Callithrix jacchus: one gene and its partners. The protein of the gene in region 4 interacts with the protein of the main gene of each other region in a biochemical or structural test. Links are inferred from orthologs where the notes say so. Each region holds a gene or a part of one and is shown on either strand. Other genes may lie near its edges. The genes, in order: KPNB1, STAT1, NOSIP and KPNA1.

Region 1 (7,061 bases), on a different chromosome or scaffold from region 4:
CTATTATAAATCGTGCCATTGCACTCCAGCCTGGGTAACAAGAATGAAACTTCGTCTCAAGGAATAAAAGGAGTTTATTGTACTTGAGTTTAGTGCTTAAGGAATTCAGTCTTTCTGGATATAGCCGGATGCCTTCATAACTGTATCCTGGGAATTTTGAGTAATTCTTTTTTTTTTTTTTTTTTCTTTTTTTGAGATGGAGTCTCACTTTGTCACCCAGGCTGGAGTACAATGCTGTAATCTTGGCTCACTGCAAGCTCTGCCTCCTGGGTTCAAACAATTCTCCTTGTTCAGCCTCCTGAGTAGCTGGGACTACAGGCACCCACCACCACGCCTGGCTAATTTATGTATTTTTAGTAAAAACAGGGTTTCATCATGTTGGCCAAACTGGTCTCGAACTCCAACCTCAAGTGATCTGCCTGCCTTGGCCTCCGAAAGTGCTAGATTAAAGACATGAGCCATCATGGCTGGCCCTCTATCTAAGTAATTCATTGCAGACTACTGAAAGCATTTACACCTAATTATTAATACAAAATTCTGAACTGGAGTTTTGAAAGTTATTTTCAAATATTTTGAAAGATATTTCACACCATCTCTTGTAAAATTACAGAAGGATCTTGGTGACTTTTTTGAGTTAACCCATCCATTAGTATTTCTTTTTCTGAGGTAGCAGTTAGCATGAATTTTAATTTTTGTTTTACTTTGCTAATAATTGTTATATTTTCAGGCTATGCCCACCCTAATAGAATTAATGAAAGACCCCAGTGTAGTTGTTCGAGATACAGCTGCATGGACCGTAGGCAGAATTTGTGAGCTGCTCCCTGAAGCTGCCATCAATGATGTCTACTTGGCTCCCCTGCTGCAGTGTCTGATTGAGGGCCTCAGTGCTGAACCCAGAGTGGCTTCAAATGTGTGCTGGGTAAGGGATTTTGTTCCTGGTGAGAAAAGGAGCTTGCCCGCACCATTGGCAAGAAAGTAGAAGGTGTGGGAGAGAAGTGGATCTGCCTCACTGGAAGGCTTTTTTCTGAATAGCATTTTCTTTCTAATTTATTCAGTTAAAATGTGGGGGAGATTTCAACTGCAAGAGCCAGTGGGAGCAGTTGACTCATGGTTACCGGTTCCTGAACCACTTAAAACAGTCATGGGAACCCAGTGGGGAAACTATCTGGACTTGGCTTGCTTTCTTAAATTACTTGGGGACAAAAAGTTTTGATTAAGGTAGAGAGTTGTTGGCTACAAGAACTATAATTGCTGAGAAGAGAGCAAGCGGGAAGGAAGGTAGGTAGCCTCAATGCTGAGTCAGTATGGCCTAATGTAATTTGTTAAGGGGAGGAGGTTCAAATAAGGAAGGAATGGGGCTCAGAGTCTTTCTGTGAATGGACACAGACTAAATGAAATGGCAGTTATTGCTGAAAGTACTCTGATGCTTAGAGAGTTGTCAGATTATCAGTTATCAGACAGGATTTTTGTGATTGAAAGCATAAGAAATGAAATGGCAGTTGTTGCTGAAAATACTCTGCTGCTTAGAGAGTTGTCTGATTATCAGACAGGAGGAACAGAAAGTACAAATCAAATAGTTAATTTAAAAGATACCTGTAAAATGTTGTCTTGAGATGACCTTACCAAAAAAAAATTGGAGGTTCACTGACACAGCCCGAAAGTATCTTAATGAAAAATGAGATAATCCTAAGGTGTTGGGTTATTTCAGAACTAACATTAAACTTACCTGCATTTCAGGCATTCTCGAGTCTGGCTGAAGCTGCTTATGAAGCTGCAGATGTTGCTGATGATCAGGAGGAACCAGCGACTTACTGTTTATCTTCTTCATTTGAACTCATAGTTCAGAAGCTCCTGGAGACTACAGACAGGTAACTGATATTCCATGAAAATGAGGGACATCTTCGCATCTAAGTTCTGGTGCCTTCTGTGTGGAGGAGATATGTAGCTTAATTATAGAAGCATAGTGAGAAAGGACACGACTCTACCTTCTCTCTCTCTCTTTTTTTTTTTTGAGACGGAGTTTCGCTCTCTTTACCCAGGCTGGAGTGCAATGGCACGATCTCGGCTCACCACAACCTCCACCTCCTGGGTTCAAGCAATTCTTCCGTGTCAGCCTCCTGAGTAGCTGGGATTACAGGCACACACCACCATAGCCAGCTAATTTCCCCGACAACTACCATATTTTTATATGGGATCAAGAACTTGGGGTGAATACAGTTGACTTATAAACAAGCTTTTGAAATGTTGTTTAAAGGGGATTATAAGTTGGAGACAACCTTTAATGATTCATGCTTTATGTCAGCTATACCTAAAGTCATGAACAAAGTAAACCTTCAGGAAGGGAGCTGAGCACAAAATGTTTTTTTTTTTCCTTTAGTTTTTGAGACAGAGTCACGCTCCTGTCACCGAGGCTGGAGTGCAATGGTGTGATCTTGGCTAACTGCAACCTCCCAGGTTCGAGTGATTCTCATACCTCAGCCTCCCACATAGCTGGGACTACAGGTGCCCACCAATGTGCCTGGCTAATTTTTATACTTTCAGTAGAGATGAGGTTTCACCATGTTGGCCAGGCTGGTCACAAACTCCTGACACCTCAGGTGATCTGCCCACCTCGGCCTCCTAAGTTCTGGGATTACAGGTGTGAGTCACCTGTACCCAAGAAAATTGGGGTATTTTCTTCATAGCTATTCAGACAACCTGTTAAATTGTTAACATGGTTCTTTACCATTTCAAACCATTTTTCCCTCTGTAATTTTAGCTCATTTCCTAAAGGACCGTTCTAAATTTTAGCTGTCTGGAGACCATAATGAACATAACTGTTGGCTCAAAGGACTTGAAGATTTGGTTATTAGATATTGTGTTTCCAAACTCAAACCATGTCTGCAGTCATACCAGTTTCTGAGTTCTTATTTCTGGCAAGACAGTGTCTATATTCTCTGTATTATTCTCTGTCCTTTCCCCTCAGTTGAGCCTTTAAGATTTTCGCTGTGTTCTTTACAGACCCGATGGACACCAGAACAACCTGAGGAGTTCTGCATATGAATCTCTGATGGAAATTGTGAAAAACAGTGCCAAGGATTGTTACCCTGCTGTCCAGAAAACGACTTTGGTCATCATGGAGCGACTGCAGCAGGTGCTTCAGATGGAGGTGAGACCTAAGAAGGCCCCTGACTATGGGTGGGAATAGGGCAGTACTTTGGACACCTAGGTCTATTTTCCAGACTGTTCTGTCTTTTTGGTGTTTATATATTTTCTCAGAAGGATATGAAGTTTATTTAAAAAAAATTACACCTTAACGTTAGCATTGCTTGTCATGGTTTACTCAGACATGTGTTATATATATTGTGGGTTTGTTGTTGTTGTTTACTTTCCTGTGTTGGCATTAGGGAAGATTATTGAATGGTTACGTAGAGTATGTTTTCTTCTTTTCCTTGTAGTCACATATCCAGAGCACATCCGATAGAATCCAGTTCAATGACCTTCAGTCTTTACTCTGCGCAACTCTTCAGGTATTATGGTGCTATATCATTTCTTAGTAACTCCAGGAAAGATAATTAATATCTCAGTATGACAAGTTCATGTATACACAGAACTCAAAAATGGTATCGATGATGCTGATCAGAAGCTGTTCTCAGAAGACTTTGGTCTGTGATTGATGAATTGGGAGAGGAATTTCCCACCGGCCTTTCCTCACTGTCTAGAAAGATTCAAATCCTACTTTATTTATAGATGGTCTAGATATAATCTTGATAAACTCAAATCAACTTGACTTCTCCCAACTCAGTGTACACTCATCAAACCTCCCTTCCTCACTCTTGTTTGTTTCAACTAATGTCTCAGTGTAGAGAAGTAAACTACTTGATGTTTGATGGTTCCTCCCAGCTGTATAGCTGGTTTGTGTTGACAGCTTGAATGGTTTTGGTTTTTTGATTTTGAAAACCAAAAGAACTCTTGGTTTTTAATTAAGTTATTCGAGCCTAGCTCAGTCATATTTGGTTCCCAGCTATAGTTCACTTGACTAAAAATAAAGCCTTGAGTTTGTACCATCATCTTTTGAAACATTTGCTGTTTGACCTATTGTCAGTGACATTAATTGAAACAAGAAGAAGGAATGTTTGATGAATGTATATTGAATTGAGAGAAGTCAAGTTGGTTTGATTTTTATCAAGATTATTTCTAGACCATCTGTAAATGGGTAGGATATAGGAAGGGTTGCTTTTTGTTTGTTTTATTAAAAAGAGCTCTAAGGTAACAGGGCTTTTTTAAAGCTCAAGTAATTTAACTATCTAGTAAGACTAGACTATGGAGGCTACCAGCATGGATTTGTCAGACACTAAGGCAAATAAAATGCAGACATGACCTTCTGCACAATGGAGGATCAGCTCACATTGGTTCTGAATTGAGAAATTCAGAAACTGGGGAATGTTAAAATGTATTGCTGGCTGGGCACAGTGGCTCACCCCTGTAATCCTAGCATTTTGGGAGGCCAAGGTGGGTAGATATCTGAGGTCAAGAGTTTGAGATCAGCCTGGCCAACATGGTAAAACCCTGTCTCTACTAAAAATACAAAAATTAGCTTGACACAGTGTGTTGTGTGCCTGTAATCCGAGCTACTGGGAGACTGAGGCACAAGAATTGCTTGAACCCGGGAGGCGGAGGTTGCAGTGAGCCAAGATAACACCACTATACTCCAGCCTGGGCAACAGAGTGAGACTCTGTCTTAAAAACAAAAAAGTAGGGAGAGGGCTGGGTGCAGTGGCTCATACCTGTAATCCCAGCACTTTGGGAGGCTGAGGTGGGCGGATCAGCTCAGATTGGGAGTTCGAGACCAGCCTGACCAACATGGGGAAACTTTGTCTCTATTAAAATACAAAAAATCAGCCAGGTGTGGTGGTGTGCGCCTGTGATCCCAGCTACTTGGGAGGCTGAGGCAGGAGAATTGCTTGAACCCGGGAGGCTGAGGTTGCGGTGAGTCGAGATTGCGCCATTGCACTCCAGCCTGGGCGACGAGTTAAACTGCATCTCAAAAAAAAAAAAAAAAAAAAAAAGTATTGTTAATGATTGGTATTATCAGAGTTTTTTAGTATAAAAAGTACATTTGGCATTCACAAAAGAAAGTCAAAGGACTTAATTGATTTTTAAAAAGAAGGTATACTGTTCTGATTGGGAGATTGGGAATCAACTGATCTTGAACTCTTACTCATTTCACAGAATGTTCTTCGGAAAGTGCAACATCAAGATGCATTGCAGATCTCTGATGTGGTCATGGCCTCCCTGTTAAGGATGTTCCAAAGCACAGCTGGCTCTGGGGGAGTACAAGAGGATGCCCTGATGGCAGTTAGCACACTGGTGGAAGGTCAGTGAAAAATACTGTCTGGTCAGGGAATGTCTTTAGAATGCAGGCATTTCAGTGGCCTTAAATAATTGTCACCCAGGCTGGAGTGCCGTATCATGATCTTGGCACACTGCAGCTTCCACATCCTGGGATCAAGTGATTCTTCCACCTGAGCCCCCACCCCCACCCCCGACACACCAGTAGCTAAGACTACAGATGCACACCACCATGCCTGGCTAATTTTTTATATTTTTGGTAGAGACGGGGTTTCGCCGTGTTGCCCATGCTGGTCTCAAACTCCTGAGTCAAGTGATGCTTCTGCCTCAGCCTCCCAAAGTGCTAGAATTATAGATGTGAGCCACCATGCCAGGACGTTAAAGGATTTTTAACTACAGAAAGCATAGTCCTTCTACTGGGGCATGAGTCACTTCAAAGTTAGATTGAACTTAAGTGTAAATTTGTATAACTGCCTTACTGCCTTGTCAGTCTGTTTAAATGTGGAGTCAGTTTGCAGCTAAGATTGGCTGAGTGTTTTTTTGTTGTTGTTTGAAATGGAGTCTTGCTGTTGCCCTGGCTGGGGTACAGTAACATGAGCTAACCACAACCTTTGCCTCCCAGGATCAAGCGATTCTCCTGCCTCCGCCTCCTGAGTAGCTTGGATTATAGGCATGAGCCACTGTGCCCAGCCAAAAGTTTCTATTTTCTTCCTTTTTTTACCTTCTATTGCAATCACCTGGTTTGGGTTGTAATGCTTTGGGCTCAGATTGACACATCATGGTGCCTGGTATGGGATGAAATGAAGCATTGAGCACATTCTAGGAATTGATTTTCTGATTTTTACATGTGTGACTGCGACATTGCTTTAGGGAAGCCATATCTGACTTAAGACTTTTTGAAGGGCCATTACAAAGCACTTAGAATCTGGAATGCCTCTTCAGGGGTGGCTTATAAGTACATTACTAAGGCCATTTACCTAAGGACCACTCTCCTGAGGACCAGACCTATTTTTGGCATAAACAGTCTATGTCCAACTGGTCTGTCAACATTTGACCACCCTTCTGAAAGGGCAAGGAAGTTAATTTTGGCTCCTGAGGTGGCTGATTTGGATCTGAAGCCCAGTGCTGCTTTTCCTTACCGTGACTTGTTAAGCCCTTGATGGGATTGCTGAAGGACCCTGCATTGAAGCTGGTCTGCAGAAAGGACACGCTATTATCAGATGAGGGGGTGGACAAGAGGCAGTATTGCTGGTTTAGCCCATTTAAAATTAACCTCCATATTCCTTGAGGTCCATACCTTTTTGTTGTGTTAGCCAGAGAAAAGCCCTATTCTGTGGAGAGTTAGCATTGTCTCTGTGGCGTAAGAATTAGGGCCTTTCCAGCAGTAATAAATGTGGCTTATGTAAGCCTTCAATGTCTTCATGATAGAATCCGTAACTGACTCACATTCCACCTGACCTGTTGAGTGGAGCCGAGTCCATTTTGGGAGAGGTAGGATGGGTTATTTTGGCCTACTCTGTTACCCCATGGTGCTGTCATTGACTAATAGTTTGTTTCATTACAGTGTTGGGAGGTGAATTTCTCAAATACATGGAGGCTTTTAAACCCTTCCTGGGCATTGGATTAAAAAATTATGCTGAGTACCAGGTAGGATATGCTTTTTAAAATAATATATTCTCATTTATACCTGAGAGTCACTGTAGTGCAGATAAAACCAGGTTCTTATACCT
Region 2 (7,061 bases), on a different chromosome or scaffold from region 4:
TATTTTATAAACTAGCACACAAAGGTTTAAAACAGTTTTGAAAATGAAGTTAGCTGTCTTGAGTCAAGGGAGTAAAAAAAAAAAAGTCAGTATTGACCATTTACAGTCTCTGACCTTTGTGGAGATGTAAGAGTCTGTTGTAGTGCAGCTACATACAGTACAATTCAGGCAATTCTGTTTTTCCACTTGGATTCAGATTGCAAATTCATTGCTGTGAGAAAAGGATGGAGGCAAATTTTAGCAGCAACCTCCACCTGACTGCTTGACCAGAGTGCTCTGAATTTTAACACTGGCCGCAGCACCACCAGCTGTTGTTCCAGGACTCATTAGCTTTTCAATCACGGCTGCAATCGTCATGAAAGACTGTTCTACATTTGTTGCATTCTTAGCACCGGTTTCCAAAAACGAAATTCCAAGGGAATCAGCAAATTCCTTTGCTGTTGTATAGTCTGCTACTTTCTTTGTGGGCAGATCACACTTGTTCTCTACCAACAATTTGTAGACGTTTTCACGGGCATAACGATCTATTTTCTGCAGCCACTGTTTAACATTATTGAAGGACTCCTGATCGGTCACATTATATACAACTAGGATGCCACTGGCTCCTTTGTAATAACTGGAAACGACTGTTCAAAATCGTCCCTGGGCTGCTGTCTTCCATATTTGAAGATTGATTTCCATGAAACTCTATAGTTCTTATTTTGAAATCCACACCAATTGTGCTGATGTAGCTTTCTGTATATGTATCAACCGCAAAACCTAAGAAGGAGGCAAGGCTTTCCAACCTCAGAGTTGCCAAGCAGAAGTAACTTGAATAAATAATTGTATTTGGGATTCATGGTGGACATGTCACTGTAGCTGCCACCACTGCCACAGCCACCCTTGCTGCTACAGCTGCCCTGACTCTCTGCACCATGGGCAACTGAAGGAAAGGAATGGGATAGGCTGTTCCAGGAGAGCAAACGTCTTCCCCAACTCCGTCCGCTAGAATACAATCAGCAGCCGCCGTCACTCAGCTATCGCTTCCACCCAGAATCAAGTACATTTTTACTACTTCAAGTTTGCATTAAAAAACAAATTACATTTTTATTATGTCAAGTTTGCAATATGAAGCCTTCTTTTCCACTCAGTGACATTTATCTATGTACTAAGCCTGTCTAGAGCACCTACTATTCACAAGGCACTGTGCTAGGTCCTGCTGGGGGAAAAGGTTGAAAAAAGCATGTCTCTACTGTCCAGAACCTTATGATAGTCAACAAATATAAAGAAATATATAACAACCATGTAACAAAAGGCACAGTAGGAGAGGAATGAAGGATGACTGTAGGCCAGGAAGGGAGATAACATCTGTTTGGGAAATTTGGAAAGATTTCATGATGAGATACAAGCGGAAGCTTGCAGGATGATACAAATTTGAAAGTAGGTACAAGAAAAGAAGGCTCTGAGGAGGATGACATATCCTCAGGAGAGGCACTGAGAAGCAAGTGTGCAGCATGGCCCCTATAGGAATTAGCAAGAGGTCAAATTTGCCTAGAAAGAGGCATGTGTGGACATGAAGCATGGAGTGGTCAGCCAGGTCCACGCTGCAGAAGGGGGGCCATGAATGCCCAGCTGAGGGGCTTCACTTGGATCAGAGGGTGATGAGAAACCAGAATGGAACTCCGCTCAGGGACAGCACTGGACATAGGGAGGAAGGACTGGGATGGGGGACTGGTAGGGAGGCTGGGGAAGAGTCCAGAAAAGAGGATTTAAGAGGCTGAGACATGAGGAGGGGAGAGGAGGTGGTGAGACATGCTAGGGTTATGGCAGAGACCTGGTCACAGGGGAAGGAAGAGTGAAAGGTGTCTACAGATTCCAGCCTAGGTGGCCATAAGAGTGAAGGGCCACTGGTATAACCAAAGAATTCAGGAAGAGTCACTGTCACTAAAAAAATTTTATATAACCTACTAAACCTTTCTAAATCATCCAAATTACAGTAAAATGTTCCTCTGTAAGAACTGATTACAGAAGGTACAAATAAATGTCCCTCGAGTTACCTCTGAATGAGTTGCTGGAACAGACTGAAGGTGCGGTCCCATAACACTTGTTTGTTTTTTGTGATAGGGTCATGTTCATAGGTGTATTTCTGTTCCAGTTCCTCCAGCTTTTTAAGCTGCTGCCGAACTTGCTGCAGACTCTCCGCAACTATAGTGAACCTGGAAAGGTATGAGACACAGATGTCTTTATGAGAAACAGTCCAGAAGCAGCCTGGATTCAAGGGAGTCTTAATGTATTAGTCCATTCTTACGCTGCTAATAGACATGCCCGAGACTGGGACCTTTATAAAGGAAGCAGTTTAATTGACACATAGTTCCACATGGCTGGGGAGGCCCCCAAATCATGGCAGAAGGCAAATAAGGAGCAAAGTCACATCTTACATGGAGGCAGGCAAGAGGGCGTGTGCAGGAAAACTCCCTTTTATAAAACCATCTTGAGGCTTACTCACTCCCACGAGAACAGTATGAAGGAAACCACCCCCCTCAATTCAATTGTCTCTACCTGGCTCTGCCCTTGACACACAGGGATTACTACAATTTAAGGTGAGATTTGGGTGGGGACATGGCCAAACCATATCCTATGGAAACCAACAAGTTGTTATGTGCCACACAAAATGTTATCAGGATATTGTGCTCTGCGCTCTAGGGAGAAACAAGGGGAAAGAGGCTTGTGCCAGTGCTAGAAGCTTTGTTATTTGAGGAGAAAAACTAACATGACTGAATGATTACAGCCTAGATCAAAAAGTTCGGCACACCACTGAGGTCTAAGTAAGGAGAGATGAGTGTGGGCTGGGCTTCTGGGTGACGTGTGACTGAAGCAGGGGAAAGAAGAAGCCAGAGGCAGGGAAAACAGCAAAGCAGATGCTTCCAGGTGATGCAAGAGGCAGCGAGGAGCCACTGCAGGTTCTGTCAAGACAGTAGCATCAGCAAGCAGTGTCTCGGCAGGACCAGTCAGAGATGTGGCACAGAGTGGGAGAGAGGGGAGGCAAGGCCAAGCAAGGACGGGAGGTGAGGGAGGAACAACGATTCCGGTTTCACTCGACTGAAAGAAGGCATATGCTCAGTCTCGACCCTAAAAATATAATGCCAGTGAGTACACCTAGTACTTGCTCTTAGTCTTCCTTCCCTTCAGTCAACTGCTAACAGTAAAACAGGCAGGGGAAACACAGTTTTATTCGCTTGCAGTAATGACAGAAGAAAACTTTTTACAAGTGTCTTCTTCGCTGAGAAAAGTATCTACTTCACTTTCTCGATTCCAGTTCAAAGCCCTGGGACAGCAGCCATTCGTCAGGAAAGGAGAAGGCAGGATAACAGTTGCCTGAGTTCCAGAGGACATGCTAAACCAGTGTCCCCAACTCTGCACACAGAGAAAACGACAATCCTTACAAAGCACAGTGGGAAAACTAGAGGGCATATATGTCCCCTAGAAGAGGCGCCTGTGGTCTAAGAGGTCCACTAGGGGGCTCTACACACCCCAGGGCCTCTCTGGCCACCCGAAAGGCTTAGGGGTGTCAGCATTCCTCAAGACACATGGCGTGTACTGGGCTCAGAAGCTCTGCTCTAATCCACAAGAAATCTGGGGCACCTACAGGCAATTCACAGAATAAAAATAAATGGCTGAATATTAATTGTGATTTTTAAAAAAAATTAGCAATACAGAAAATAACTTCGTGAGGTCTCCGATCCTTGGACCCTTTACAATGGGCCCAGGCCACCATTCCTTCATATTCACTCTGTGATCCCAAGTGCAACCGCTGTTGACTCTTACCTGGACCACACTAATATGCGAATAGTATTCCAACTGGTCTTTCTATCTCTGTCCTGTCCTACAGGCTGTGTGGCTAGAGTGCCCTTTCTAAATCAAAGATCAGAGAAATATACCTCCTGCTTAAGAAAAAAGGCTGCCTTGGCTCAGCAGTATGGGTACACACGGCCCCCGTTCCATTCCTAGCATGGTGTGAGAACCTCCACCGTTAGGTTCCAGCAGCTCCTGCCAGGTCCACTTTTCTTCCCGTCTCACCTGACATCACTCTCCAGCCACCCAATACAGACAGCCCCTTCAGGCTCCCACATGTGTGCCTTTGCACATGCTGTTCTCTGTGCTGGAAAGCACTTCTCCTCTACGTGGAAAAAGCCCAGTCACTCTTGAGTCAGTGCAAGGCCATTTCCTCTATGAAACCTTCCCTGGAGATGCTTTCCTTTGTCCTCCTCAGAACTCTGATGGCCTTTTGTTAGAGCACCTGGAAATTTCTACTGCACAGAATTTTTACCATGTCTACATCCCTCCTCCACACCAACAAGTCCTTGTTGCCAAGGGCCAAGAATCATTCATCCTTGTGTGCCCAGGTCCTAGTACAGTGCCTGGCACGTGGTAGTCATTTAATAAGTATTACTGGATGGATGACTCCCGACAAACTATTCATGTAAGCCTGGAAAAATGCCTCAAGCTATCTTGTTTTGAATGAAACATTAGGAATCAAGTTGTTAATTGTGTTCTATAATGACCATGTCACTGAGGTGTTGTACAATCAAACAACACATCCCATGGCACAGGACTGCTCCACACCAAGCAGACGTGGCTGAATGTGGCAAGAGTCATGAATAACACTGTGCTTTCCAAGGGACTGTGTCCAGGGTAAGCAGAAGCTGGACTACATCAAACTCTATACCAACATTTTGACAAGGTCCATTCAACACAGCTCAAAGGGGCATTGATGAGCTTATGTGGTTAGCTAGTCAGCTGCTGGTTTTCCACTTTGGAGAATCTTACCAGTTCTGCAGTTGATCCAGGCAAGCATTGGGTGGCCCCCCAATACAGGCGCTCTGCTGTCTCTGCTTCCACTCCACTAGTTCATCGTTAATCAGGGCATTCTGGGTAAGTTCAGTGACATTCAACAACTCTATTATTTTGTGAACTACTTCCTAAAGGCAGTGGAAGAAATAGTGAAATAAATTCATTTTTAATCACTGAATTTTCAAATATTTTTTAAAAGAAAAGCAAGTATCGTTTCATTCTCAACTGGGGTTCTAAGCAAGGGGGTTAAAAAAATAATGTTTCCTCTCTTCTGAAATTGAGTCCATTATGCATAGTCTGTAACAAAAGCAGCATGCTATTCTGGAAAGTAAATAACTACCTTTCTTTTATTGTCAAGCATTAAATACATCTTCTTGAGTAACAGCTGTTCTTGTTTCTGATCACTCTTCGCCACACCATTGGTCTCGTGTTCTATAAATTGAGAGACAGCCAGTAAATATATTTACATAAATAAGACAAAACCAACAAAAGCCAAGATAATATAACTTAGGATAAATAGATACAGATGCCGCCTAGAGACAGGTCAAAGTTTGGCTTTCTTCCATCTTTATTAAACATGAAAACAAGTCCTAAGGATAACAACTAGACACACTGAAACAGAACGCTTGTTTTCAGTGACCCATCTAAATCAGACATAGTAGTATCTGCCACTGCAGTCACTGGCAGATAATTTCCTAAATAAACGTACATAACAAAGTTCAAAACTGCAGTTAAAAAAATGTATGCAAAGCATATCTGTAGGTTTTGAAGAGAAGTAGATGATTATAAAGTGGTAGTTGAAGTCGCTGTCTCTCATACTTTTTACCCAAATCATACTTATAATCTGCCTATGAACCGTTGTATACGCCAGATGATGAATATAGTAACAGTAGTACACCACATATTCTGTACAACACACAATCTTGAGTTATCTTTGGTTGCTACTCTCATTAAGAACAAGCAACAGTAACAAAATAGAGTAACACTGCTTTAAAACATGAGAAAAATACTGAGCTTATCTGCCATGTATACAATGGACCTGCAATGTTTGAAGAAACTTCAGATATTAGGGCAGGGGAACTCCACATTCTGTCACTCTGCATGAATCAGTGGACTACACGCAATTCAAAGGTGAGTAACACATAACCCGTGGTTATCAAGTATGGGTCACTGACCCCAGGGGACTTTTTGCATTGTTTGAAGACAATTTTGGTTGTCACTAGTGAGGGTTCCTGGCTAGTGCCACTGGCATCTGGTGGGTAGAAGTCAGGGATGCTGTTGAACACTCTACAATGCCAGGACAGCCCCCACAACAAATTATCTGCCCTAAAACATGAATGGTACTGGATGTTAAGGAACCCTGGCTTGGGTTATCAAGGAACAATTCAGAGTCATAAAATAATTGGCAAATAAAAAGCAGTAATCATATTCGCTATCTAGTGTGAACAGAAAAAATTACAGCCAATGGGCACCCCTTCAATTGTGAAGCCTTACCTCTGTTCTGCAAGGTTTTGCATTTAAAGTCATACTCATCTTGTAAATCTTCCAGGTTCTTGATTTCATGCTCTATACACTACAAATAAAGACATAAACATATTTTCTACTGATCAGCGACTTCCAAAGACTTTAGAAAACAGAGTTTTGTTCCTATGGAACCCCGAGAAACGTGAAAACAGTTCCAGCTCCCTCAAAAAGAGATCTGACTTGGAGAGGTCTAATCATATACATGAAATTACTTATATTTCATTAACAAGTATGTAATAACACTTTAAAAAAAAGCAAATGTATAATAATTCTCAAACTGATTTGTATGTTCTTAACCTGGTTTCAGGGCCAATATTTTGATTCTTCCTCCTCATTTTTGAGAGATACAATTTAAGAACTCGGAGGCCGGGCGCAGTAGCTCAAGCCTGTAATCCCAGCACTTTGGGAGTCCGAGGCGGGTGGATCACGAGGTCGAGATTGAGACCATCCTGGTCAACACGGTGAAACCCCATCTCTACTAAAAATATAAAAAACTAGCTGGGCATGGTGGTGTGTGCCTGTAATCCAAGCTACTCCGGAGGCTGAGGCAGAATTGCCTGAACCCAGGAGGCGGAGGTTGAGGTGAGCTGAGATCGTGCCATTGCACTCCAGCCTGGGTAACAAGAGCGAAACTCCGTCTCAAAAAAAAAAAAAAAAGAAAGAACTCTGAGTTACTTAAATACTTAAGTAACTCAATTTAAGTACCT
Region 3 (7,857 bases), on a different chromosome or scaffold from region 4:
CAGGATGCTAATTCTTGCTACGGGAAGAGACATAGTTGGAGCTTTACGATGTGGTTTTCGATGGCTGCCGCCTGTCTCCGTCTGCTCCGGCTGCCATAAAATACCACTCTGGGTGGCTCAAACCATAGACTGATTTCCTCCAGTTTCTGAGGCTGGAAGTCTGCATTCAGGCTGCCAGCATGGTGGGGTTCTGGTGACGCCCTCTTCCCGGTTTGCAGGAGGCTGCCTTCAGTGGCAGAGGAACCACCTCTCTGGTGTCTCCTCTTTTCTGAGGAGTCTCACTCTGTCACCGAGGCTGGAGTGCGGCGGCACCTCCGCCCACTGTAATCACCTCCCTAGTTCAATGATCTCCTGCCTCAGCCTCCCAAGTAGCTGGAATTACAGGTATCCACCATCAGGCCCAGCTAATTTCTATATTTTTAGTAGAGACAGTTCTGCCATGTTGGCCAGACTGGTCTCGAATGCCTGACCTCAGGTGATCCACCTGCCTCGGCCTCCCAAAGTGCTGGGATTACAAGCATGAGCCACCGCGCCCAGCCTCCTCCTTTCATAAAAACAGCAATGAATCAGGGCCCCACCCATTCACCTTCATTATTTCCATGAAGGCTCTACCTCCAAATATAATCATGTTGGGGCCAGACGAATCTGGGGGGCATTCAGTATATAACGTTCCCTGAAGTTTGGATGAATTTCACCACCCCTGAAACCGGACACCTAGGCAGTACACAACAATGAAGGGGCCAGCTCTGAAGGAGTCACCCAACAGCGGAACTGAAACTTAATCAAGCCGTTACATTCAGTTTCCGGATTCTACAGGAGGGAATAACAAAAAAGGGCCGGAGAGTCACAGCCCCTGTAAATACTCCACTCTGCCCCTGTAGCATAAAAGGAGCCACAGACACACAAACAGGCCTGGCTGTGTTCCAATTACACTGTATTTAAGGCCGGGCGCGGTGGCTCAAGCCTGTAATCTCAGCACTTTGGGAGGCCGAGGCAGGTGGATCACGAGGTCAGGAGATCAAGACCATCCTGGTCAACAAGGTGAAACCCCGTCTCTACTAAAAATACAAAAAAGAGCTGGGCATGGTGGTGTGCGCCTGTAGTCCCAGCTACTCGGGAGGCTGAGGCAGGAGAATTGCTTGAACCCAGAAGGCGGAGGTTGCGGTGAGCCGAGATCGCGCCATTGCACTCCAGTCTGGGTAACAAGAGCGAAACTCCATCTAAAAAAAATAAATAAAAAATAGGGCCGGGCACGGTGGCTCAAGCCTGTAATCTCAGCACTTTGGGAGGCTGAGTCGGGTGGATCACGAGGTCAGGAGATCAAGACCATCTTGGTCAACATGGTGAAACCCTGTCTGTACTAAAAATATAAAAAATTAGCTGGGCATGGTGGCGAGTGCCTGTAATCCCAGCTACTCGGGAGGCTGAGGCAGAAGAATTGCTTGAACCCAGGAGGCGGAGGTTGCGGTGAGCCAAGATCACGCCATTGCACTCCAGCCTGGGTAACAAGAGTGAAACTCCGTCTCAAAAAAATAAATAAATAAATAAATAATAAATAATAAAAATAAACTGTATTTATAGACTCTGACAAAAAATCACATATAATTGTCATGGGTCACCAAGTCCATTCTTTTGATTTTTACCAGTTATGTAAAAATGTTAAAAGCCATTCTTAGTTTGCAAGCTGAACAAAAACAGGTAGCAGTTAAAAAGTCAGATACCTTGGTTGGGTGCTTTGGCTCTCACCTGCAATCCCATCACTTTGGGAGGCTGATGCAGGCAGATCACAAGGTCAGGAGTTCAAGACCAGCCTGGCCAATAGGGTGAAACCCTATCTCCACTAAAATTATAAAAATTAGCCGGGTATAGTGGTGCACGTCTGTAGTCCCAGCTACTTGGGAGGCTAAGGCAGGAGAATTGCTTGAACCCAGGAGGTGGAGGTTGCAGTGAGCTGAGATTGGGCCACTGCACTCCAGCCTGGGTGACAGAAAAAGACTCCGTCTCAAAAAAAAAGAAAAGATATCTGCTGGTGGTTCTGGCTCACACCTGGACACAGCACTTTGGGAGGCCAAGGCAAAAGGATCACTCGGACCCATGAGTTCCAGACCACCCTGGGCAATATGGCGAAACTGTGACTTTACAAAAAATAAATAAATAAACCAGCAGCAGCCAGAAGTTTGAGACCAGATTTGGACTTGCTGTGGGCAACACAGCAAGATCCCATCTCTACAAAAAAACATTGTAAAAACTTAGTGGGGCAAAGTGGCATGCGCCTGTGACTACTCGGAAGGCTGAGGCAGGAGGATCACTTGATCCCAGGGGGTTGAGACTGCAGTGAGTCATGACTGTGCCACTGCACCACTGCACTCCAGCCTGAGTGACAGAGTGACATTGCCTCTTAAAAAATCAGGATATCTGATAAGGGAATTGCAGTGAGAATATATTAAAAACTTACACCCCTTGGCTGGGCGCGGTGCCTCACACCTATAATCCCAGCACTTTGGGAGGCTGAGGTGGGTGGATCACGAGGTCAAGAGATCGAGACCATCCTGGTCAACATGGTGAAACCCGTCTCTATTGAAAAATACAAAAAAATTAGCTGGGCATGGTGGCACGTGCCTGTAGTCCCAGCTACTCAGGAGGCTGAGGCAGGAGAATTGCTTGAACCCAGGAGGCGGAGGTTGCGGTGAGCCGAGATCGCGCCATGGCACTCCAGCCTGGGTAACAACAGCGAAACTCCGTCTCAAAAAAAAAAAAAAATTTCTCCAAAGTTCTACAAATGGCCAATAAAGACCGTAAAAGATACCAGTTCATACCAATTAGAATGACTAAAATCAAAAAGACAGATAATAATAAGTGCTGGTATAGATATGGAGAAACTGGAACCCTCATACATTGGTGGTAGGAATGTTAAATGGTATAGCCATTTTGGAAAAGTCAGTTTCTCAAAAGATTAAACAGACTCACCTTTTGAGCCACCAATTCCACTGCCAATAGAAATAAAAATAGAACCCAGGAGGCGGAGGTTGCGGTGAGCCGAGATCGTCCACACAAAAACTTGTATACAAATGTTGCTAGCAGTGTTACTTATAAAAGGTAAAAAGTGGAAGTTCGGGCACGGTGGCTCACGCCACACAAAAACTTGTATACAAATGTTGCTAGCAGTGTTACTTATAAAAGGTAAAAAGTGGAAGTTCGGGCACGGTGGCTCACGCCACACAAAAACTTGTATACAAATGTTGCTAGCAGTGTTACTTATAAAAGGTAAAAAGTGGAAGTTCGGGCACGGTGGCTCACGCCTGTAATCCCAGCACTTTGGGAGGCCCTGAGGTTGGGAATTCAAGACCAGCCTGACCAACATGGAGAAACCCCATCTCTAAAAATACAAAATTAGCTGGCCATGGTGGCACATGCCTGTAATTCCAGCTACTTGGGAGGCTGAGGCAGGAGAACTGCTTGAACCTGGGAGGCAGAGGTTGCGGTGAGCCGAGAGCAAAACATTGCACTCCAGCCTGGGCAACAAGAGGAACATTATTCAGCCATCAAAAGAATAAAGTGGCTGGCTGGGCACCGATGGCTCACACCTGTAATCCCAGTACTTCGGGAGGCCAAGGCAGGAGGATCACTTGAGCCCAGGAGGTTAAGACCAGTCTGGGTAATATAGCAAGACCCTATCTCTATTTTTAAATAGTTTAAAATAAAAAAAGAGAAACAAGTAAAATAAGACCACAAAAAAAGCAAACGGACAAATTCAGATGGTGGGATGATCAACAGAACTAGACTTAAGTTTCTTCACTGAATTGATTTCACCAAGAAAAAAACAAACTGGAGTGGAAGGGGGAACAGTTCTTTTTTTTTTTTCTTTTGAGATGGAGTATCGCTCTGTAGCTCAGGCTGAAGTAATGCGATCTTGGTTCACGGCAATCTCCACCTCCCGGGTCCCGGTTCAAGCAGTTCTCCAACCTCAGCCTCCCAAGTAGCTGGGATTGCAGGCACATGCCACCATGCCCAGCAGATTTCTCTACTTTTTAGTAGAGACGGGGTTTTCACCATGTTGGCCAGTCTGCTCTTGAACTCCTGACCTCGTGATCCACCCGCCTTGGCCTCGGCCTCCCAAAGTGCTAGGATTATAGGTGAAAGCCACCAAACTGGGCCAGAAGGGGGAACAGTTCTAAATTAAGAGAGATTTCAAAGACAGTAGCAATCACTTAACTACATCCTGATTCCAACAAACCCACAGTTACCCTGGATTGACTATGCACCAACTCGTGGACAGGAGCCTAGAATTACGGTTGTTTTTGTAAAGTGTGATTAAAAAGTATTGTGATAAAGTATTGCAGTCATGTCAACAGTGTTTCCGGTTTTTACACACACGCACCCTGGTAGATAAAATTCACAGGAGGCCATTGGTTTGGACCGAACTCCTGCACTAGCTTCAATAGACCAAACAAAAATGCGAGTCACTCATGCTGAAGGTCCATGCTTCCAAGCCAAAACTCAGTTGTCATCTGATCTTCTGAGACATCAGGAGAGAAATAATAGCCAAATCCCCAAACAGGCCAGTTTTAGCCCACCTGATAAAGGAAGTCCCCTCTACTTTAACCCTTAACTTATAATTTTTTTTTGAGACAGAGTTTCACTCTTGTGCCCAGGCTGCAGTGCAATGGCACGATCTTGGCTCACTGCAACCTCCGCCTCCTGGGTTCGAGCAATTCTCCTGCCTCAGCCTCCCGAGTAGCTGGGATTACAGGCACGCACCACCACACCCAGCTGATTTTGTATTTTTAGTAGAGACAGGGTTTCTCCATGTTGGTCAGGCTGGTCTCGAACTCCCAACCTCAAGTGCTCCGCCCGCCTCAGGCTCCCAAAGTGCTGGGATTACAGGCATGAGCCACCTTGCCCAGCTTAACTAAGAAATTTAATCAAGTTAATCAATTTAACCAACTAGCTTTTCATTTTCTGTTTCTGCTTTTCTCAGCCCTTTGTCTCTGAAAACAACCTCCTCCTCTGCTCAGCTTATCGAGAACACTCGTGCTATTTTCCAGAATTGATGTCCCATTCTAGATTCACAAATAAATGCCAACTAAGATCTTCTCACTAAATGTGTTGTAATTTTGTCTTTTGACAATCCTGAAGTGTCATGATGCCTAGGATTTGTTTTAATCCTTTAAGTTAAAAAATAAAAATACGCCGGGTGCCGTAACTCACATCTGTAATCCCAGCACGTTGGGAGCCTGAGGTAGGTGGATCAGGAGGTCAGGAGATCGAGACCATCCTGGCTAACACGGTGAAACCCCGTCTCTACTAAAAAATACAAAAATTAGCTGGGCGTGGTGGTGTGCACGTGTAGTCCCAGCTTCTCTAGAGGCTGAGGCAGGAGAATCACTTGAACCAGGTGCAGTGAACCGAGATCGTGCCACTGCACTCCAGCTTAGGCGACAGAGCCAGATTCCCTCTCAAAAAAAAAACAAAAACAAAAACAGCAAGTAGTGCCAAAATAATAATTGGTAAATTTGGATGACAGGAATTCCTATGTCTTCTCTCACTTTTATATAAGTTTGAACATCTTCATAAGAAAACATTAACATCCAACTGCCTCAAGGCCCCCTCAAGCCCCAAGTTCACAGAATTAGCACACGATCAGAATGTGAATGTATGATTGCCGGACCCCGTGGAAGCTCCACGCAGGAAAACGTGAAGCCCTGTACCCACCCCGAGAGGGAAGGGACTGTCAGAAAGGTGAAGAGAAGGTGGCGATGGACGACTGGACAATCTAGTATCGCCCGCCGTGCCACCACAGTCGGGGAAACTGAGACCAGAGAAGGAGCTCTCTTCCCTCAACTCCCACTCCTTAGACCCCCAGCAATCCCAGTCCACTGTTTCCCTTGGGACCGCCGGCAAATAGCCATCTACAGCGGAACTGTAACTCTCGGAGAACTGGCCGTTGCTAGCTACCACTTGGCTGAGTTTATAGTGACAGTGAGAGAGAGAACTGACCAATGGACGGTTGGCCACCTCCAGGGGAGTGTAGTTCAGCTTCAAACTTGGGGCGCCCGTACAGCTCTATTAATAATGATCGACAGGGAGTCGGGAATCCAAAATCTTGCCCAGGTCTCCCTCAAGACCCCAGACCTCTAGCCCGCAGGAAAGCGATCCCAGCAACACTCTTCCTACACCGTCTCGAACTCACCTCAAGAACGACTCTCAGTTCCTGGGTCGCCTCTTCAACTGTGCCCGGACACCGGAAAGGAGCACCGGTTACCCTCTCCGCTCCGCCCACTTCCGCCCTGCCGAAGGCACAGGAAGCAGAGGTGCCCCTAGTTGCGGAAGTGCCTCGCCCGGCTTCTTCAAGTCCTCTCGTCTCCTCTTTCTCCCTCCGGAAACGTGAGTGGCAAATCGAAGGTTCCGGTTATTGAAACTGGTGGGACTATGGGGAACGCTTAGTATGTACTAGGCATTTCCCAGGGAGCTAGTTTTTTCTTGTTTGATGCCCAGGCTTTGAGTTTCTCCAAGCCCAAATTTGAGGACTAACCACTTCCCCTAGAGATTAGGAAGCCCTCTTTCCCAAATATATCATCCACTTTTCTTGCTGCATCTTAAAACACAATGGAGAAGGGACAACTGCACTCCCATTTTATGGACAGAACCATTGGAAATGGAAAGGGAAAGCCGTTTCAGTCGCCCTCAGGAAACAGGGATTTACTGCAGCACTGGTCAGCTGTCCCAGGAACTACGGCACATCGTTCCCGCCAGTTTCTGCATATCTAGAGACCTTGATATCTGGAGACATTGATTTTTCTAGCTTGGCCAGGCGAACACCCAGGGGAGAGGCGGAGCGGTTAGGGGTCGGGAGGAAAAAGGAGGAGGGTCGAATCCCATCTCCCAAGTGCCCCAAGGTATTAGACACCTTGGCTCCCCCAGGGAGCTCCGGCCTTTAAGTCCTTTATCCCAAGGTCCCTTTAAATACTTTGTCCCTTACCTGAGTCCCGCCCAGGACAGGTAATAACAAGCTCCGCCCCTCTGCCAGAAACCGGGATCGGGCCTGGTTACCGGGAGTGGGGCGCCCCTCCTCCACCCTCCCCTCTTCCCTGTCCCCCTTCACAGGTGGCTGTAGCTAGCCAAGGAGGTCCGGATTGAAGTGGAAGGGGCAGTGCTCACAGGTCTGGGCAGGTAAGTGAATGTTCCCAGAGGAAGAGCTTGGCTTGGGGACCCAGGCATCCTGGTTCCCCGCCCCTCTGAGACCCAGAAGTCTGGGGCTCCTAGGCTTAGGAGTCCAGGGCCCCTGCCCCCTTAGGTCCCCCAAGAATATATTTAATCCCTGGCCTCTGCCTCTGTCATAATCTTTGTTGTCTGTGCATGGATGTGACAATGAACACAGAAGCACAAGTGGAAATTACCAGGAAGGGAAGAGTCCAGATCACCAGTGGACATGTTTATGAGCACCTGGGTCGGGTGCTGTAGACACAGTGGAGAAAAAGATAAGCTCCCTGCTCTATTCTCTGGTGGACACTGCCTTCACTGAAATCCTGGCCCTCACACTTGCACACTGTGTGACCTTGGGCAAGTTAATTTACCTCTCTGCACCTCAGTTTTCTCTCCTCTAAAATTGAGGATAATAGGATTCCTGGCTATGTGTGGTGGCTCATGCCTGTAATCCCTACACTTTGGGAGGTCGAGACGGGCCGATCACTTGAGGTCAGTAGTTTGAGACCAGCTTGGCCAACATGGTGAGACCTCATCTCTACTAAAACTACACAAATTAGCTGGGTGTGGTGTTGCGCGCCTGTAATCCCAGCTACCCGGGAGGCTGAGGCAGGAGAATCGCTTGAACCCAGGAGGCGGAGGTCACAGTGAGCT
Region 4 (7,061 bases):
ATTTGCGTAGCTTCTTGAATTCTCCCTCATTTCCCCTGAGACTTTGGTGCTAAACTCAAAATAGCAGTTTGAACGCTGGCACCAATTAGTATTCTAAGTAATTTTTTCTCACCAATAACTCTGTACTATATTCCTATGTACCTAGGTTATTATAATTTCTTTTGCATCAAAATCTCACTATAATCCTCTTTTTCTTTGTTATAGATGGCATGTATGCTGATCTTATTTTTTTCAGGTTACTTTTCCTTACAGTTTTCATTTCTTTGACTTGATATTTGCGTATCTGTTGTGTTTATTCAACTTTCAGCCTGCCTTGTGGTGGGACAGTTTGATTTTATACTTACATCATATGACTCTGGTTTACAAATTAATTTTCCTTGTCGTCAAAAGAAAACTACATTTTAGGTGAACTTGTTTTTTCTTTTTTAGTATAAATAATCTGGCATACTGTTATTTAAAATTTCTTGCACTAGATATCCAAACTACAAGCAATTGAAATATTTCTGTGCCAGCATTACGTATTAGAGAGGAAACTATGACTGGGCTTCATAATGTATTAGATTGAGTGGCTGGAACTTAGCCGTTCTCCTTACCTGTGTAACATTACTTGAATCATTAAATTGTTGGATTTTTTTCGGATAGTTTCCTCATTTGTACACGAGAAAAGCCAGATACCTTACCTCTCTGGGTTGTTGTAGGGATCATCTGCGAGTATGTGAATAGTGCCTTGAGTATATAAAGTATGGTACAGATGTCAAGTTGTAATTTAGGCGTACTGAAACAGTCTGAGTGTTGCTTTCATTAGGAATTTAATTATAGAGATGAATATGTGAAGAGTTTTTATTTCATGATATTTGGGGTTTAATCTGAAAATTCAGAATTTATGTCATAACAAAAAGCGACCAGATGTGGGCTCTTTAACAGAAGTGCTTCTCATCTGGGCCCCCCTGCTACTACTAAACCACCTTACCTCAATCATTATGTCACTTTAATAGTTTTCTTTGGAACATCCATTTATTATGTTTCTTCTGCTGTTAATTTTCTATCGTTATATATCTTTGAATGTGATTTGATCAGATTGCCCATTTCCTCTGACTTTGTCTATTCCCAAAGATTAATGAATTTAGTTTTCTACCTGTCAGCTGCCTTTTAGTTAATCTCAAAGCTTAGAGGAATCACAGGTCATTTAATTATGACTTGTTATTTTCTCTGATTTAAAGGACATACCATGGATTTTTTTTTTCTGTGTATGTGCTGTATTAAGTAGAAGACAGAAAGGTGGAAGAAACAACCTGAAATGTAATTAAAAACTCTTAACTAAATAGAAAAGAGTTAATTCTCAGATTTCTGAATATTAGTCTAAATAGTCAATTTAGTGTTAGAGATATATTTGAGTAGTATGCTCTATTTTTTGTTGGTCATAATTTTCTTTATGTCTTCTGTTTACCAGTGCTGTAATGCTGCATATCAACCTTTGGTCAATTTACCTTCGTTTTTTTCAATCCCTGTTAAGAATGCTCTTTTAAAAAGTCCTATCTCTGTACTTTGGTTTGGATTTCTCTCATTTATGGGAAGCTCTTATGCTTTGAAGTTGTCATTTCTTTTCATTATATGCTTAACTCCTTTGACCTGCTTAACATTTGATACCTTTTGCTTTTCTCACTGTGCCTGTACATTATGTTTTACACTAACATTTTCTCCCCATTTTACTTTGCCCATTCTACAGAAGTTTTAAAGTTTTTTTTATTAGATAGCATGCATGGTACAGGCCAAAAGGCACATAAGGCTTTCCACTGATAAGTGTTTTTTTCATCCTTGTTCCCTAGTTATCATGACCTTTCCCTGCAGCCAACAAGTATTTAGTTTCCTATAACTCCTTCTAGAGATAATCTGTGCAATTAGTAAGTTAATGCATGTATTCCTTGTAATACTTTTAGAAAATGTGGGGCCGGGTGCGGTGGCTCACACCTGTAATCCCAGCACTTTGGGAGGCCGAGGCGGGTGGATCACGAGGTCAAGAGATTGAGACCATCCTGGTCAACATGGTGAAACCCCGTCTCTACTAAAAATACAAAAAATTAGCTGGGCATGGTGGTGTGTGCCTGTAATCCCAGCTATTCGGGAGGCTGAGGCAGGAGAATTGCCTGAACCCAGGTGGCAGAGGTTGCGGTGAGCTGAGATCGTACCATTGCACTCCAGCCTGGGTATCAAGAGCAAAACTCCGTCTCAAAAAAAAAAAAAAAAAGAAAGAAAATATGGTATAATGTCATATTAATGTACACTGTTTGCATTTTGTTTTCGTTTATATCTTTGCAGATCATTCCATATCAACATTTGTAACACTGTCTCATTCTTTTTATGGTGTCATGTCCACTCTATCTTGAACTGAAATTTCAGACACCCTGAATATTCTTCTAGGTTGAGGTGTTTCTTCTGGAAATTCTTTTAAAATTAATATAGTACTCAACTGATAGGTTATGTGTAAATAATGATCTCAGAATCTTTTTTTACATGTTCAGAAAGAGTTACTGTTATAAGTAAAAAAGCTTTACATTCTCAAAAGATAATGAAAATTATTTTTATCTTTGTAGTTTGAATCAGCTTGGGTACTGACAAATATTGCTTCAGGAAATTCTCTACAGACCCGGATTGTGATTCAGGCAGGAGCTGTGCCCATCTTCATAGAGTTGCTCAGCTCAGAGTTTGAAGATGTCCAGGAACAGGTAAAAATGAAACAGAAAGAAGCAGGTGAAAGAATAACATTTTTCCCTTCAATCATATTCAGGGATTGAGTTTTACCAGTTGGCTTTGATAATCTATGGATTGTCACAAAGGAGTGTTCTAGAAATCTAGTCTTAACCAAATAGAAAATTTCTTAGTGAGTGTAGGCAGAATTTTTCTTAGACACATAAAATAATCTTCCCCTTCCAAACCTGACATTCTTTAAGCCCTGAGTATGTACTTTCTAAACCTTGTAAGCAGTTACTAGTAGAGGTTTTTGCTTGTAGAAATTTCCAGTGTTGAAAGTAGGCCAGGCACTGTGGCTCACACCTGTAATTCCACCACTTGGGAGGCTGAGGTGGGCAGATTGCTTGAGCCCAGGAACTCAACCACTCAGGGCAAAATGATGAAACCTCATTTCCACCGAAAAAAAAAATTAGGTGGGCATGGTGTTGCACACCTGTGGTCCTAGTTACTTGGGAGACTGAGGTGGGAGGTTCACTTGAATGAGCTCCAGGAGGCAGAGAGGCTGCAGTGAGCTGAGATCACAGCACCACACTCCAGCCTCGGTAACAGAAGGAGACCTAGCTCAAAAGAAAGTAGTAAGTTTTTATCACTTTTGTGCAGAAAATAGTTTGTTTCACTGTTTTATTTTGTAAGCCAGAAAAATACCTTTTTTTTTTAATGGAGTCTCTGTCACCCAGGCTGGAGTGCAGTGGCACGATCTTGGCTCACTGCAACCTCTGTCTCTCAGGTTTAAGCAATTCTTGTGCCTCAGCCTCTTCAGTAGCTGGGATTACAGGCATCTGCCACCACACCCGGCTAATTTTGTATTTTTAGTAAAGATGGGGTTTCACCGTGTTTTACTCGATACTGGGTGACAGAGCGAGACTCCGTCACCAAAAAAAAAAAAAAAAGAAAAGAAATTGGTTCTTTCCTTTAATAAACTGAATACCTTTAGTTTATTATACACTTTAGAATATTATTTATCTTCTTCCTCCAACCACACAACTGTTTCATTTGACTCCCTGATGAATGTGTTACTGTGATATACTGGCATCTGAAAGAATTAGAAGGGAGTACATAACTTTTATTAATGATTCTTTCACAGGCAGTCTGGGCTCTTGGCAACATTGCTGGAGATAGTACCATGTGCAGGGACTATGTCTTAGACTGCAATATCCTTCCCCCTCTTTTGCAGTAAGTTTCTTCTTCTTCCTTTTTGACAATAAAAACATAAGAGATTCCTCAGAAAGCAGTGCATCTCTGGAAATCATTTTGGATTTTCTGTTGTTATTTTTCATTCCAGACATTTTCTTGTTTAGATCATTTCCTCAGAAAAAAGGAAAAAACGAGGGGAAAAAAAGATCATTCCCTTAAGCACTCTATCTTTCTCTCATGTCAAAATTCTGAATTACTTGTATCAGAATTAATGAAGTTTTAATGTTCTGGGGAAAAGCTATCTGAAGACATCTCTTTATCAAAAGTACTATTACTTAGTATTTATATTATGTTTTCAGAGAATCAATGTCTATTATATAGTTTACCATTGTACCATCATGCTTATAGGTTATTTTCAAAGCAAAACCGCCTGACCATGACCCGGAATGCAGTATGGGCTTTGTCTAACCTCTGTAGAGGGAAAAGTCCACCTCCAGAATTTGCAAAGGTAAGGACTGTGCTTTTGGGACATTGGCAGAAAAAATGCAATTATAAGAGTATAGCAACCAATAGTAAGGTGAACAGAAAGATAATTTTTGTTAAAACTTAAAATGTTAGAATTTTATCTGTTTTTGGAGAAACAGGGTTTTTGTTTTTTTTTTTGGTTCCCTTTATTATTTGAAAAGCAAATTTAAAGCATAGCTTGAAGATGCACATTTATGTAGGGGCTGCAAATAAATAAAAGCATAGCATAAAGGGAGAATTTGTAAAGCTCATTGAAATGAGACTTCATACAATTAGTATACTGTATTAAGAGACTCTTCAGTTCTCCTAAAACAGTGGTTCTCAAAGTATAGTCTGGGAGTCCATGAGATTTTTTTTTTTTTTTTTTTTTTGCAGTAGGTTTTAGGGGAACAGATCAGGTGTTTGGGTACATGAGTAAGTTGTTTAGTGGTGATTTTTGAGATTTTGGTGCACCCATCACCCAAGCAGTGTACAGAGTACCCACTGTCTAGTCTTGTATTTCTCACCTACCTCTCATCCTTTACCCCAGAATCCCCAAAGTTTATTGTATCAATCTCATGCTTTTGTGCCCTCATAGCTTACATCCCACTTATGAATGAGAACATCTGATGTTTGGTTTTCCATTCCTGAGTTACTTTACTTAGAATAATGGTCTCCAGTTCCATCCAGGTTGCTGCAAATGCCGTTGTTTTGTTTCTGTTTATGGCTGAGCAGTATTCTATGGTATATATATCACAGTTTCTTTATCTACTTGTTGATTGATGGGCATTTGGGCTGTTTCCATAATTTTGCAATTGTGAATTGTGCTGCTGTAAATATGCGTGTGCAAGTATCTGTGCACGTTTGTAGCAGTGGAATTGCTGGATCAAATGGCAGATCTACTTTCAGTTCTTTAAGGAATCTCTGTACTATTTTCCATAGTGGTTATACTAATTTACATTCCCCTTTTCACCACATCCATGCCAACATTTATCGTGTTTTTGTTTTTTTGAGACAGGGTTTCGCTCTTGTTGCCCAGGCTGGAGTGCAGTTGTGCAGCACACTGCAACCTCCACCTCCCAGGATCAGGCGATTCTCCTGCCTCAGCCTCCTGAGTAGCTGGGATGATGGGCACACACCACCATGCCCGGCTGATTTTTGTATTTTTAGTAGAGATGGGGTTTCACCATGCTGGCCAGGCTGGTCTTGAACTCCTGACCTCAGGTGATCCACCCACCTCAGCCTCCCAAAGTGCTGGGATTACAGGCATGAGCCACCACATCCCGCCTGTTTTGATTTTTTGATTATAGCAATTCTTGCAGGAGTAAGATGGTATAACATTGTGGTTTCAATTTGCATTTCCCTGATAATTAGTGATGAGCGATGAGCATTTTTAAATGGTTTTTGGCTATTTGTATATCTTCTTTAGAGAATCGTCTGTGTCCTTAGCCCACTTTTTGATGGGATTGTTTTTTTCTTGCTGATTTGAGTTTCTTGTATATTTTGCATATTAGAAGAAACAGGATTTTTTTTTGGTAGTTGTTTTTAATTTGGAATCATTTTTCACTGAATTCATCTTAAAACCCTAGCATTTTTGGTCTAAAGTATCTAAAATACAGAATTTCTTAGCTTTCACATTTTTGAAAGTTTCTTTACCTCTTTAGTCCACAAAGAATGTGTTTTGACAAGGAATCTCACTCCAAGAATTGATGTATATAAAACTTTATGATCTGAAATTAATTTCCTTGGGCTCTGACTACAAATTAGTGCAAGACCACTGACAGCATTGTTAAAGATGGAACTGCCACTTAGGTACTTGTTGTTTCTTGAGAAGTGTAAATCACTCAAGAAGTCACCAAATTTATGCCTGGCTGCCTTCTTGAGTATCTCACCTCACTTCTGGCTTCTAGTCTGTTGGATTTCATAATCATCATTTTCCTTTTATAGGTTTCCCCATGTCTGAATGTGCTTTCCTGGTTGCTGTTTGTCAGTGACACTGATGTACTGGCTGATGCCTGCTGGGCCCTCTCATATCTATCAGATGGACCCAATGATAAAATTCAAGCAGTCATTGATGCGGGAGTATGTAGGAGACTTGTGGAGCTGCTGATGTAAGATATGTTTTAGAAAGTGTGTTCACTTTTTTTCCCTTGGTACTAGTTTTCTAGCTACTAATACTTAAATATTAATTGATTGTATATTATATTGGTTTATTGTGCTTTGGGCTACTATTTTTTGTTACTTGTTTATGTTGATGGCAGATCTGTTTGTCTTGTTTTATTGAGGCTTATAGAGAACCTCTTACTCCTCTGCTGTTAGCAGGCCTTTAGCAGAAATATTTGGAAAACTCTGATCTGTGTAGTTACAGTCTCATACTGGATGACCCGAGATCAACCACTGGACATCAGAAGATACACTGCCAATAAAATAGTCATTCCTTATCTTTCTGTCTCATTTAGAGCTTATTTAAGACAAGTATCAGAAACTGAATCTTACTTTGGTTTATCACCTTTGTGCTGCTTTTGATAATGCAGTAGAAGATTTACTCGTTAAATAAATAATTTGAGACTGTCTTAATCAAATTTTTAGATACGACAGAAGAAAAAAGTGATAACATAATGGAGAAATGGTACAACTACAAGCAACTGGAAATTTAATTAAAGTACAAAATAGAT

What was found.
Region 1: the proteins of KPNA1 (region 4) and KPNB1 form a complex in vitro, tested with the Homo sapiens proteins (6 studies listed by BioGRID and IntAct, with this or other methods). The link is inferred for Callithrix jacchus from reciprocal best matches to the Homo sapiens genes KPNA1 and KPNB1.
Region 2: the proteins of KPNA1 (region 4) and STAT1 form a complex in vitro, tested with the Homo sapiens proteins (2 studies listed by BioGRID). The link is inferred for Callithrix jacchus from reciprocal best matches to the Homo sapiens genes KPNA1 and STAT1.
Region 3: the proteins of KPNA1 (region 4) and NOSIP form a complex in vitro, tested with the Homo sapiens proteins (2 studies listed by BioGRID). The link is inferred for Callithrix jacchus from reciprocal best matches to the Homo sapiens genes KPNA1 and NOSIP.

What each region holds. Positions count from the first base shown.
Region 1 is NC_133506.1:118,625,676-118,632,736, reverse strand, and holds part of KPNB1 (importin subunit beta-1), read left to right. Parts: intron 1-727; coding exon 728-919; intron 920-1,737; coding exon 1,738-1,868; intron 1,869-3,000; coding exon 3,001-3,148; intron 3,149-3,437; coding exon 3,438-3,509; intron 3,510-5,211; coding exon 5,212-5,356; intron 5,357-6,895; coding exon 6,896-6,978; intron 6,979-7,061.
Region 2 is NC_133507.1:37,806,288-37,813,348, reverse strand, and holds part of STAT1 (signal transducer and activator of transcription 1-alpha/beta), read right to left. Parts: intron 6,404-7,061; coding exon 6,325-6,403; intron 5,263-6,324; coding exon 5,171-5,262; intron 4,959-5,170; coding exon 4,807-4,958; intron 2,196-4,806; coding exon 2,037-2,195; intron 998-2,036; exon of another isoform or gene 103-997; intron 1-102. UniProt on the Homo sapiens protein: Signal transducer and transcription activator that mediates cellular responses to interferons (IFNs), cytokine KITLG/SCF and other cytokines and other growth factors.
Region 3 is NC_133523.1:43,339,709-43,347,565, forward strand, and holds the start of NOSIP (nitric oxide synthase-interacting protein), read right to left. Parts: upstream 6,233-7,857; 5' UTR 6,191-6,232; exon of another isoform or gene 5,998-6,190; intron 1-5,997. UniProt on the Homo sapiens protein: E3 ubiquitin-protein ligase that is essential for proper development of the forebrain, the eye, and the face. Catalyzes monoubiquitination of serine/threonine-protein phosphatase 2A (PP2A) catalytic subunit PPP2CA/PPP2CB.
Region 4 is NC_133516.1:80,574,176-80,581,236, forward strand, and holds part of KPNA1 (importin subunit alpha-5), read left to right. Parts: intron 1-2,591; coding exon 2,592-2,723; intron 2,724-3,832; coding exon 3,833-3,921; intron 3,922-4,290; coding exon 4,291-4,390; intron 4,391-6,333; coding exon 6,334-6,497; intron 6,498-7,061. UniProt on the Homo sapiens protein: Functions in nuclear protein import as an adapter protein for nuclear receptor KPNB1. Binds specifically and directly to substrates containing either a simple or bipartite NLS motif.